Linked DNA regions of Sus scrofa. The protein of the gene in region 1 interacts with the protein of each later gene in a pairwise test. Links are inferred from orthologs where the notes say so. Each region holds a gene or a part of one and is shown in the gene's direction. Other genes may lie near its edges.

Region 1 (5,242 bases):
CGCTCTGGTAAGCTAGGAAGAGGGGTGCACTGTTATAATCACCATTATAACAATTGTTCCAGGCTGTTGCTTAACTATTGTTGATACTGTGTCTGTTACCAAGTCTCTATGCATTGGCTTTTACAAACCAACCTGTGATGAGGTAGACGAGGAAGCCGCAGTGTTGTCCACTCTGGGCTGAGCCTGGAGAGATCTTCCATCCTAGAGCCAAAGGATAAGGGCCAGGATTTCAGGGCCACCCACCTACAGCCCTGGTCCATTTGTTTAAGGTGACGGCTGAGTGGTAATGAATGCAAACAGGGTTGGTGGGTGTCTGGGTGCAAGGGCTCCTTAACCATCTGTAGCTCCAGTCTTAGCTTTGCTCTTCAGTTCCAGCTAGCACAGGACATCTCGCTGGCTCACCTTGTTCTCACCAGCACTCTCACGTCTTCCCCTTTACACATTTTCCTCCTCAGGCCATGGCCTCTGATTCAAGAGATGCCTGAGGGGAATGGTTAAGGCCACCTGTTCTAGAGCCCAAATGCCTGGGTGTAGCTCAGGCTCCACCACTTACCAGCCATCTCACTTGAGCTAATTAACCTTCAGAACCTCAGTTTTACTCTGTAAAATGATGACAATGATGGTGTAAATGAAATGCAAAGAGCTCTTTGTATTAAGCTAATCAAGAGAGAAATGGACAAAACACTGTAAATCAACTATAATGGAAAAAATAAACTTAAAAAAACCCCTAATCAACAGAAGTTCCTGTTCTGGTTTAGCAGGTTAAGAATCCCCCTAGTATCCATCCGTGAGGATACAGGTTCAATCCCTGGCCTCGCTGGGTTTAAGGATGCTGCATCGCCACAAGCGCTTGGATCTGGTGTTGCTGTGGCTGTGGTGTAGGCTGGCAGCAACAGCTCCAATTCCACCCCTAGCCTGGGAACTTCCATATGCCTCAGGTGTGGCCCTAAAGAAAAAGAAAAAAAAAAAGAAAAAATTAATCAACAAAAATCTGTGCGTGCCTACTTTGTGTTAGGAACAGGGCTCGATGCTGAGAGCGTGGATCTTTTTTCAAATTGTGGTGAAATATATATAACATAAAATTTACCATTTTAACCATGTTTAAGCATACAGTTCAGGGATATTAAGTATATTCATATTGTTGTGCAACCATCCCCACCATCCCCCTCCTGAACCTTTTCATCTTGCAAAACTGAAACTCCGTGCTTATTAAACACTAACTCCCTATTTCCCCTCTCCCAAGCTCCTGGCAAAGAACCATCCTATTTGTTTCTATGAATTTGACACCAGTACTTTATGTAAGTGGAATCACACAATATTTGTCCTTTGTGTCTTTTTTTTTTTTTACTTAATATCTTGTCTTCGAGGTTCATCCATGTTGTATGTGTTGGAATTGTCCTCCTTTTTAAGGCTGAGTGATATTCCATTGTATGTCCATATCGCAGTTAACCCATTCATCCCTCAGTGGACACTGGGTTGCTTCCACCTTTTGGCTACTGTGAATGATGCTTCCAGACCTTGGGCTCTCAAACCTGAGCCTCAGATGTGACTTGGACGGTGGAGTGAATACAGCCAAAGCCCTGCTGCAGTTGGCTCAGCATCTCCTCAGGCCCATGCTCCATCAGAAGCTTCACTCTCATCTCCCCAGAGCCATGCCCTCTCTTTAGATGGCTCACTTTGTAGCTGCCCTATCTTTGAGACATTGTGGACACTAGCCACTGCCAGCAGGTTTCCTGTCCCAGGCATTTCTGGGACCCCACAGAGCTTTAGCCAAGGATGTGCTAATTCGGTCTGGGGTCCTCATTCAGCTAATACCAACCATCTCTACTTCTGTGTTGGGCTAGGAGGGACAGTGGGAGATATCTTCCGCCTAGTTCAAGTCAGAAGCACTTTGTTCACTGCCCCATTGCCCTACGGAGGGAGCAAGGAAGATTTTTCCAAGACTCGAGTTTTGCTTCCGTTGGCACCAGGCAGCAGTGACTCCAGGCTGTCCTGCCTGAGCCCCTCCAGGTGGGAAACCTACTTCTGCAGCCCAGGTCGCTGAGCCTGGGGAGTAAGAAGAGCACACTACAACTCCCAGAGTTCCTCAGGCTCGGGGGGCGGCCCCCTACCCCTCGGGGGAGAATCGGACCCGCCAACCGGAGCCCACAGTGGGACAGGGGCGGGGCCAGGCAGGGCTGGGCGGGGCGGGGCCACGGGGAGGCGGCTGGCGATCCGTGCCTCCAGCCAGTTGCGCGCAGAGCGCAGAGTAGGGACGTCGGTCTGTGCGGAGGGTCTCGGCAGGCGCCGCGGCACCTCGCTGGGCCATGGGTGAGTGTCTCTGCGGCCCGGGACGGGGGTGGCGGCCCCGCGGGATGGGGAGGTTGCTGTGCCAGGTCAGCCCCGGTGCTCGTAGTCGTAGGTGCTGCCTTGGGGGGCGGAACCCGGCGGAGGAAGGACTCGGGGGGCGAGGGCGTGGGGACCTAGCCTGGCCTGGGGCACCCGCGCCCTCTGCCCGGCGCGGGAGGGTGAGGCCGGGTGTCGGCGCGTGCTCTTCGAAAAAAGGAAAGACAAAAAGTTTTGGCGGCCTGGGGCTTCCCGGGCGTTTATCTCGAAACTCTTCTCGTCGTCTCTTGACTGAAATTTACCAAGTCCTGTACGGTTCTGTCATCCCACTTCCTGCTGTGGTTTCAATCTCGAGCTGGTCTCAGCTAATTTGTTGTGACAGCTGTCCGCAGCAGTTCTCTGCCTGCAGCACCCCCCCGCCGCCCTCCCACCCCCTCCCCCGTCACATCCCGGCGGTTCTCAGAACCCGCCGGCGCCGCCGAGAAGAGGCACCCGGGTCCTTTGGGCGCGCGGGGCGCTTTCCACTGGCGGCCGCTGTTTCCTGAAAGTGACTCTGCGCGGATTTTGAAGAACTTGCTCAATGCATTTTGAAGAATCAACTGTTCCTCTTTCAGCCGATCCTTCGGCGGTTACCCGCTCCTCGCCCCCTACCCTTTCTCTTTTCTCTTCCTTTTTTTTTTCTTTTCTTCTCTAGTCTCTCTTCTTGTCTCCGGTCCACCCTCCTCTGCCCCCCACCTCCGGCAGAAAAGAAGTAGCTTCACTCTTTGTTCCTCTTTCCTTTATTTCTTTTCTATCCCCTCGGGTCTTCAGAAGGGACAGGGTGGCTCCCCGGGAGTGACGCTGGCGAAGAGCAGAGATGCGCGGTGCGGGCTGCGAGCGTCAGAGGAGAGGTGTTTGGCTTCGACCTCAGTCTGAGCCGTGGACCACAATCCGGCGGCTGCCTCACCAGGGTCCCTGCGCACAGTGTTCTGGGGGCGCGGCTGGGCCAGGTGCACGTCCTCCAGCCCCAGGGACGCTGGGGTAGGGGTGGGGATGGCCAGTGCTGCACTCGGGAGGGCTCAGGGTGTGGGTGTGGGGTCACAGGGCTGGTCAGACCCAGGTTCCCTTTGTTCGCGAGGTCGTCAGCTAGTGAGCAGGGGTCTTCGGGCTGAGGGGAGGATAAAAGGTGCTTCTTGCTTCATCCGGATCCTCATTGTTGGGGATGTGGGGTCTCTGTGGCCACAAGCCATGCTAGGGCAGAGGAAGGGTAAGAGATGGCAGCTAGTGGGTTGGGCCACCATCTGTACAAGCCCTGAGGAACATTCTCGGACCTAGGACTTGGAGTCCCGTAGAGCTAGGAAGGACCGCAGACAACCAGTGCTTCCTTCTTTGATTTAGAGTGTGAGAAGCAGCGGCTTAGACATTAGCCCTGCGGCAGTGAGAATGAATCTAGCTTCTAAGACCTTGCCCCCTCTCCCTTCCCTGTGGTCTCCTGTTTCCCAGGTGGGCCATGGCCTGGGATAACCCACCCTCCTTCTTGGACCTTGCTTTACTGGCTTGGAGAGCCACCCTGGGGGGCTGCAGGAAGGGAATGGACACACTGAGAAGCAAAGGAGTGCCTCCAGCTGAGGTCAGGCAGCCTTCCTCTGTCCTGCCTGTACCTCTACCATTGGGCCGTGTCTTGGACAAGCCACCACCAAGCTTTGTTTCTCCACAGGTTACTTTATGGGGACACAGGAAACAGTCCATAGATGGAGCTGTTACAGTTATCATCAGGTGTCACCCAGACTTGGAGAGGAGGGACAGTGGGGATTCAGCCTCATCCCCAAATAGGGTCATTAGGATATTCCCTAACTGGCTTAAAGAGAGACCAAATCTCAGCAGGGCTTGGGAGACAGTAGTCTCATTTGGTGCCCCCATGACCCCACTTTTCTAGACTCAAGGCTGTCATCTTGGCCCCAGCTGCTCCCAGACCCTGTCCCCACTTCCCCCCGGCTGAGACACTGAGGCAGGGCACAAGCTACACCCATGGCTTCCATGTCCAGGCCATCTGACTGTCCTCAGTGCTGGCTGGAGCACAGCCCTTGGCAGGTCCCCCCTCCCCAAACCTGGGCTCCCACCCTGGAGCAAGCTCCGCACAGATACTCGGCCAGGCAGCCTGGCTCCTGGGCCACAGAGTGGACTGGCCGCTTCAAAAGCTGTCTTTGTTTTAGCTCCAGCTTGAGCAAAGAGAAACTTAAGCCAACAACCTCAGGCGAGGAGGAGGTGTGGCCCTGTCTGCTGGTTGTTATTGAAGCTGCCTTTACCATTATTGTCGTAATTGACACAGTGCTCCCAGTGGGTGACTTTTCATGAAAGGAAGTGTTGCTTCCTTCCTATCACACTGAGGGTGAATGAGGCCTGGGGGGCGGGGGTGCAGGAGAGAGAGAGAGAGACAGAGAGAGAGAGAGAGACACCTTGAACTAGTCGAGGCCAAGCTCCTCTCAGCATCAGCAGTATCTGAGGTCAAGTAGCTCCTGCTGCATCCGTGAGGCTCAGTGAGGCTTGTGTTTATGGAGCACCTGCCCCAAGCATTGAGACACAGTGGGGAGTGAGCAGGACAGGCAGCCTCAGGTCTCACTGAGGGGTGTGGACATGCGTGCACACACACACTCAGCTGTGGTCTGTAGGGGGAGCCTCATTTCTTTGTTCTCCTTAGAACATTGGGCCCATGGGGTCTAACACATCCACCTTATAGACGGGGGCAACAAGCTACAGAAGTACCTGTGGAGTCAGAGCACTCTCCCTGTCCTCCTTGTGCCCACTCTCATCTGCTTTCAGCTTGTCTGGTAGGGCAGGCCCAGCTTCTTGTCAGCAGATTAACAGGGATGCTGTGATGGGAGACTGCAGATCTCCTGGGGAGAGTGGGCAAGATTGCACCCTCTGAGCACAGAGAAGG
Region 2 (5,242 bases), on another chromosome or scaffold:
AGGCAGCTGGAAAGTGACCAAGAAATAAAGAGTGAAAGATATATATAGCCCCCCAGGCTGGCCTCGGAATATCTATCCTTAAATTTATCTCCCAGGATAAAAAGACAGCAAATAATCATAGGATTATAGTGATCAACAGCACCAGCACTTCGAACGTGTCAGACACTGTGCTTATCACCTCCTCTTGGTCCACAACGGAGGAGAGCTTTGCCACTCCATTTGCCACTCCTGGGAAGAAACTCTATGGCTCTCTTTCCTAAGGCCTCAGCTCCCAGGCCTAGAGAGAATGAAGAAAGTATGCTGCCGGAGCCTCACACCTTCCACACACACAAACACACACCAGGATGTGCTCATCTTCAGAGGCAGGCATTTGGTGGCTGCCTGCAGGATCCAGAGGTCGTGGATGACCAACAGGTGTGGGCATCGTCAGACAAAAGAGAGGAAGCAGGGCTCTTTAAATTTACGTAGGAAGAAAAGAGATTGCTACTGAGAGTCCTGGCCTCTGGGTGTGGGGAAGAAGCTGCGTGTGGCGCCTCAGCCCAGTAGGGAGGAGGAGGCAAGAGCGGCGGAAAGTAGCAGGAAATGGCGAAAGCCTCAGGAATGTTTCCAGAAGGGAAGGCTGGGCAAGCGGGAAAGAGGAATGCCCAGACTAGAACTCTGGTTAGGGGGAAGGGAAGAGCCAGAGAAATGCTGCGGCCTGAGGAGGCCCTTAAAAAAAAAAAAAAAAAAAATCAAAGAGCAAAAAGGACACTGTTCCCTAACCCACTGCAAGCCACTTTCTGGTGATAGAAAATTTGCGCTTCTGTCACACCCACATGTCGCACATCAACAAATCCATGGCCCTACCCAGCTCCCGACGATGACCACGACGACGACGATGGACAGGTATGAGACAAACAGCTGTTTCTGGGGTGGAGTCGGTCCTGGGAAGGGAAACTCAGGGAGTGGGGTTGGGAGTCTATGAGCAAGTCTCCCTCCCGCTCTCGTGCCAAACCCCAAGTCCAGCCCCCTACAAGTAGGTCCACCCTTGTAAGGGGATAAGGACAAGGGCTGCCTCTAATCTCTTACTTCTCAGAACCAGAGATGTGAACTTTTGCCTTCCTACCCGGTGGAGCATGAGAGCTCAGGAAAATTGAGCTAGAGGCCCCAAAGAGAAAAAGAACAGGGAAATGTAAGCAGGTGACGTTCCAGGGGCTGAAGACAAAGCTCCCCAGGCGATGACCTGGGACCTACAGGGATAAAGATCTTGAGGGGGCGTGGTCCCTTAGGACGCGTGCATCAGAGATTTCCAGGAGGCCAGGCTTCTGGGCGATCAGACGTGGATTAGGGAAGGGGCGGAGCTTCTAGAGGGGCGGAAACCCTAGAGAGGAGTGGCTTCACGAATTCAAGCAGATCTTTGAGGGGCAGGGCTTTGCCCTTTGGGGAGATAGGCTTTTTGACAGACAGGAGTTAGCGGAGAATCGTCGCGAGGCGGGGTTTCGGGTAATTGGAAAGACTTAACGTTGGGTTTCTAGGAGTAAGGCTTGGAAGCATGTCTAGGGGTGGGACTTCCAGGAAAGCTGGGCGACGGGGTGGGGTCGGGGACAATAAACGGAAAATAAGTCGGGGTTCAGGGAGCCCCCTGAAGTTGGGAGGTGGGACTTCCGGGGAGGGGGTCGCAGGGGGCGGGACTTATAAATGAAGACCGGAAGTAGGGTCCCGGGAGAGGGGTTCCGGGGTGGAGGGGAGGTTCGCCTAAGGAGAAAAAAAAAGGTCCCAACTCACCAGGGCTTCATGGGGTCTCCGCACCGCACCGCGGGTCGATTTGGTTCCGGATCACGCCACTGCCTCCTTAGGTCGCCGCTCCAACTTTCTCCCCGGGCCCGGCCTCCCTGGAGAAACTTTATTGCACTCACTTCCGGCCTTACTAACCCCTGACCCTCTACCTCATCGTCCCTCCTTCACCCGTCCCACTTTCCCAAATCAGCCAATGATGCGCGAGAACGCTCACAGGGCAGTGATAGCCTATAAGAGGCCTATTTTTGCCCTACGTTTTTCTTTAGAAACTTAAGCAGTGCACTCCAATAAGGACCTGAAGAGAAGCAAATCTAAGCCAATCGAAGGCTTGGAAGTGGAGTTGTCCCGCCTTCCGCCAGGCGGACCAATAGGAAGCGCGGGCGGCGTGTTTGAAAGCGAGGCCAAAGAGGGTGGGAGCGCGTGCTGCTGGGAGTTGTTTGGAGGTTGGCGGTGCGGTGTTGACGGTCCTCTGGCAGAGCGATCATGTCGCACAAACAAATTTACTATTCGGACAAATACGACGACGAGGAGTTCGAGTACCGGTTAGTGCCGGCGCGGGGGCAGTATCGAGGTGGTGAGCTTTGACAAGTGTGGGCACGAGGAATTAGTAACAGGGACCGAAGGTATAGAGTCGGCGCATGCGCAAGAGGTTAACGGGAATGGGTGTGCGCTTTGAGCGTAAGGCGCATGCGCTAAGGGTAGGGGGTCGCTCAAAAAAGCCTAAAAGTGGTAGTGAATTTGTAGTAAGCTCTCCCGTGGGGAGGAGGCGTAGGTGGGCGTGGTTAGAGTGCTGACCATCCCCACTCTTGAGGGTTTCTGGATCATTCTCTCCAATTTGCTCAGCAGATTGAACTTGACTTCTTGAGACTGCTTGTATCACCGCAACACCACAGAGCCTCTGGGGTCGGGAGAAGCTCGAATTTTCCTCGCCTCTTCAAAGTGAGGGGAGTTCTGAGAGAGCCTGAGTGGTGTTCATTAATTCTTGGAAAAGGAGCGTGGTTGTCTGGCTTGTTTTATAGGAAGGGGGCTTTGAAGATCAGGAGTGGAATAAAACTGGCCAGAAGCATTGAGTAAAGACTTAATACGGACCTAATAGATGACCTTCAAATATTTGAAGGGCATCTACTTGGGAAACAGCTTATAGGTTTCAGATGTTGTGCTAAAGTGCAGGGATAAGCCATGGTGCCTGCTTTCACCAAAACTTTTTTAAGTCTGTGGAAATACTCAGAAGGTGGTACTTGGCATGATAGAACTTTGTACAGGCTGTGATGGGAGCAGTAGGACTTGCCAAGCACAGCGAAGAAAGTGAGTCGCTCCAGAGTTTGCATTTGATAAATCCTAACCATAATTCTAGATTAGAAAATTAGGGAAGAAAAGGAGTTCTGCAAATGTTGGCATTCCACCAATCTGTGTTAATTGTAATACTTAAAACACCTGGAAGCTTGGTTGTTTTGTATTTCTTCTGCAGCCTAGTGCAGGGCTCTGGGCCCTCTGGAGAACTTGGAGTGTGCCAACAAATACATAACTATATGTATGCCACATGGTTGGGAAAAGACCCCGAGCCCTGTTTGGACCTAATTAACTTTCTTTTCCTCACCTGTTTTCCTCTCCATCTAAAGGAGGCTAACTAAAATTAGGTGCTTATAATTTATAAGGGCTAGGGGAACATCACTAGTTTCCTCCCCTGGAATATGTAAGACTTGGCAGTGATACCTGGTTTAAGAGAAGAGGTTTTATTATGTGTTGCTTTTTTTATTTGTTTTTTGGGGCTATTGGGATTTTTTTTTGTCTAAATGGGTATGGAAGCCAGTCTTTACTCCAGGGACTTATTAGGATGTAAGCTATTTTCAAATATTTAGACTAGAATGGACTCTTTGGGGTTCCCGTTGTGGTTCAGCGGTCATGAACCTGACTAGTATCCATGAGGATGCAGGTTCAATCCCTGGCATCGCGCAGTGGGTTAAGGATCTGGCATTGCCATGAGCTGTGGTTTAGGTCCCAGACGCTGCTCTGATCCTGAGTTGCTGTGGATGTGGCAGCTTTCATAGGCCACAAGTGAGGCTCTAAAAAGAAAAAAAAAAAATGTCTCTTTGGAGAAAAAAAAAATCTGTTAGCACAGAGAGAGCATTCGGTACATTTTCATTGAACATGCTAAAGTCTGTCTGGGTCAGCCCAATCCAAATCAGAATAGTAACTTCTTTGCCATGAAAGGGACTTATGCTTGATTAGGAAAGCATGCAGTTTCCCAAAAGAAATCTCATGGCACATCCCTTCAGAGTTAGGAAAGTAAAATTAAAGGAGAAGACATTTACATTTCTGCCTTTGTGCTGGCTGCTTTTTTTTTTTTTTTTTTTTTTTTTTGGCTTTTTAGGGCTGCACTAGCAGCATATAGAGGTTCCCAGGCTAGGGGTTGAATCAGAGCTGTAGCCACCAGCCCACGCCGCAGCATCTGCTGCCTACACAACAGCTCACGGCAACACCAGATCCTTAACCCACAGAGCGAGGCCAGGCATTGAAACTGCGTCCTCATGGACACTAGTCAGAATCATTTTCCCTGAGCCACAGTGGAAACTCCTGTATTGGCTTTTCTATACAGTACTCCCTGATAGGCCTTTCCTGTCCATGAAATCATGTCCCTCCCTTCCTTACCAACCCTGTGCAAAACTGCCTTTAATTATTAACACTGTGTGTGTTGTGGGGCTCCCATTATATTGTTCTAGGGTAATCAACTAGAAGACTGTAATCTCCGAGAAGGCTGAGGCAGTGCCTGGAATTTAGGTGCTCCTTCACTGGTGTTATCCATTAATTTGTACTTTTTAATATCCTTTTGTAAGAATTTACGTAACGTGGCCTTTATTTTCTAGCTGCCTCTGCCCCACAGTGAGATTATACAAACTCCCTGCCATTAGGAACCGGTTTTTCTTTCCTTTCCTCTCTTGGTTGTAAATGCAGGCACTCGTCTGACAGTGTACCCGGTAATGAAACCAATTCCCCGCCTTCCCATGTTTCTGTTACAGGCACGTCATGTTGCCCAAGGACATAGCCAAGCTGGTCCCTAAAACCCATTTGATGTCTGAATCTGAATGGAGGAACCTTGGCGTTCAGCAGAGTCAGGGATGGGTCCACTATATGATCCATGAACCAGGTCAGTGCACTGGCAGAAAGCAATCATGTAGGCCTGTGGGAATAAAGGAATGATAAGATCACATGGCCCAGAGAAATAAGGGGAAGGTGGGGGTGGTTTACTGCGTTACCCCACCAGCTATCTAGAAAAACAGAAGTGACCAAAAATAAGAACGTATCTGGGAAGTTCAGACCCAACCTGTCACTGAAAAAAATCTTTAATCTAGTTCAGTCAGAGGGTGCTCTCTTTTTCAGGCCACATATACCCTGGTAGAAGTTATGGCCCCTGCTTCACTCTCCATCGGAAAGTGAATTTTTGGAAGTGTTCCAGATAAACCCAAGG

What was found.
Region 2: the proteins of ARID5A (region 1) and CKS1B interact in binary tests that used the Homo sapiens proteins (3 or more experiments, as listed by UniProt). The two-hybrid records come from large-scale screens. The link is inferred for Sus scrofa from reciprocal best matches to the Homo sapiens genes ARID5A and CKS1B.

The regions. Positions count from the first base shown.
Region 1 is NC_010445.4:46,711,077-46,716,318, reverse strand, and holds the start of ARID5A (AT-rich interactive domain-containing protein 5A), read left to right. Parts: upstream 1-2,197; 5' UTR 2,198-2,306; coding exon 2,307-2,310; intron 2,311-5,242. UniProt on the Homo sapiens protein: DNA-binding protein that may regulate transcription and act as a repressor by binding to AT-rich stretches in the promoter region of target genes.
Region 2 is NC_010446.5:94,816,549-94,821,790, reverse strand, and holds the start of CKS1B (cyclin-dependent kinases regulatory subunit 1), read left to right. Parts: upstream 1-2,207; 5' UTR 2,208-2,259; coding exon 2,260-2,318; exon of another isoform or gene 2,319-3,565; intron 3,566-4,793; coding exon 4,794-4,921; intron 4,922-5,242.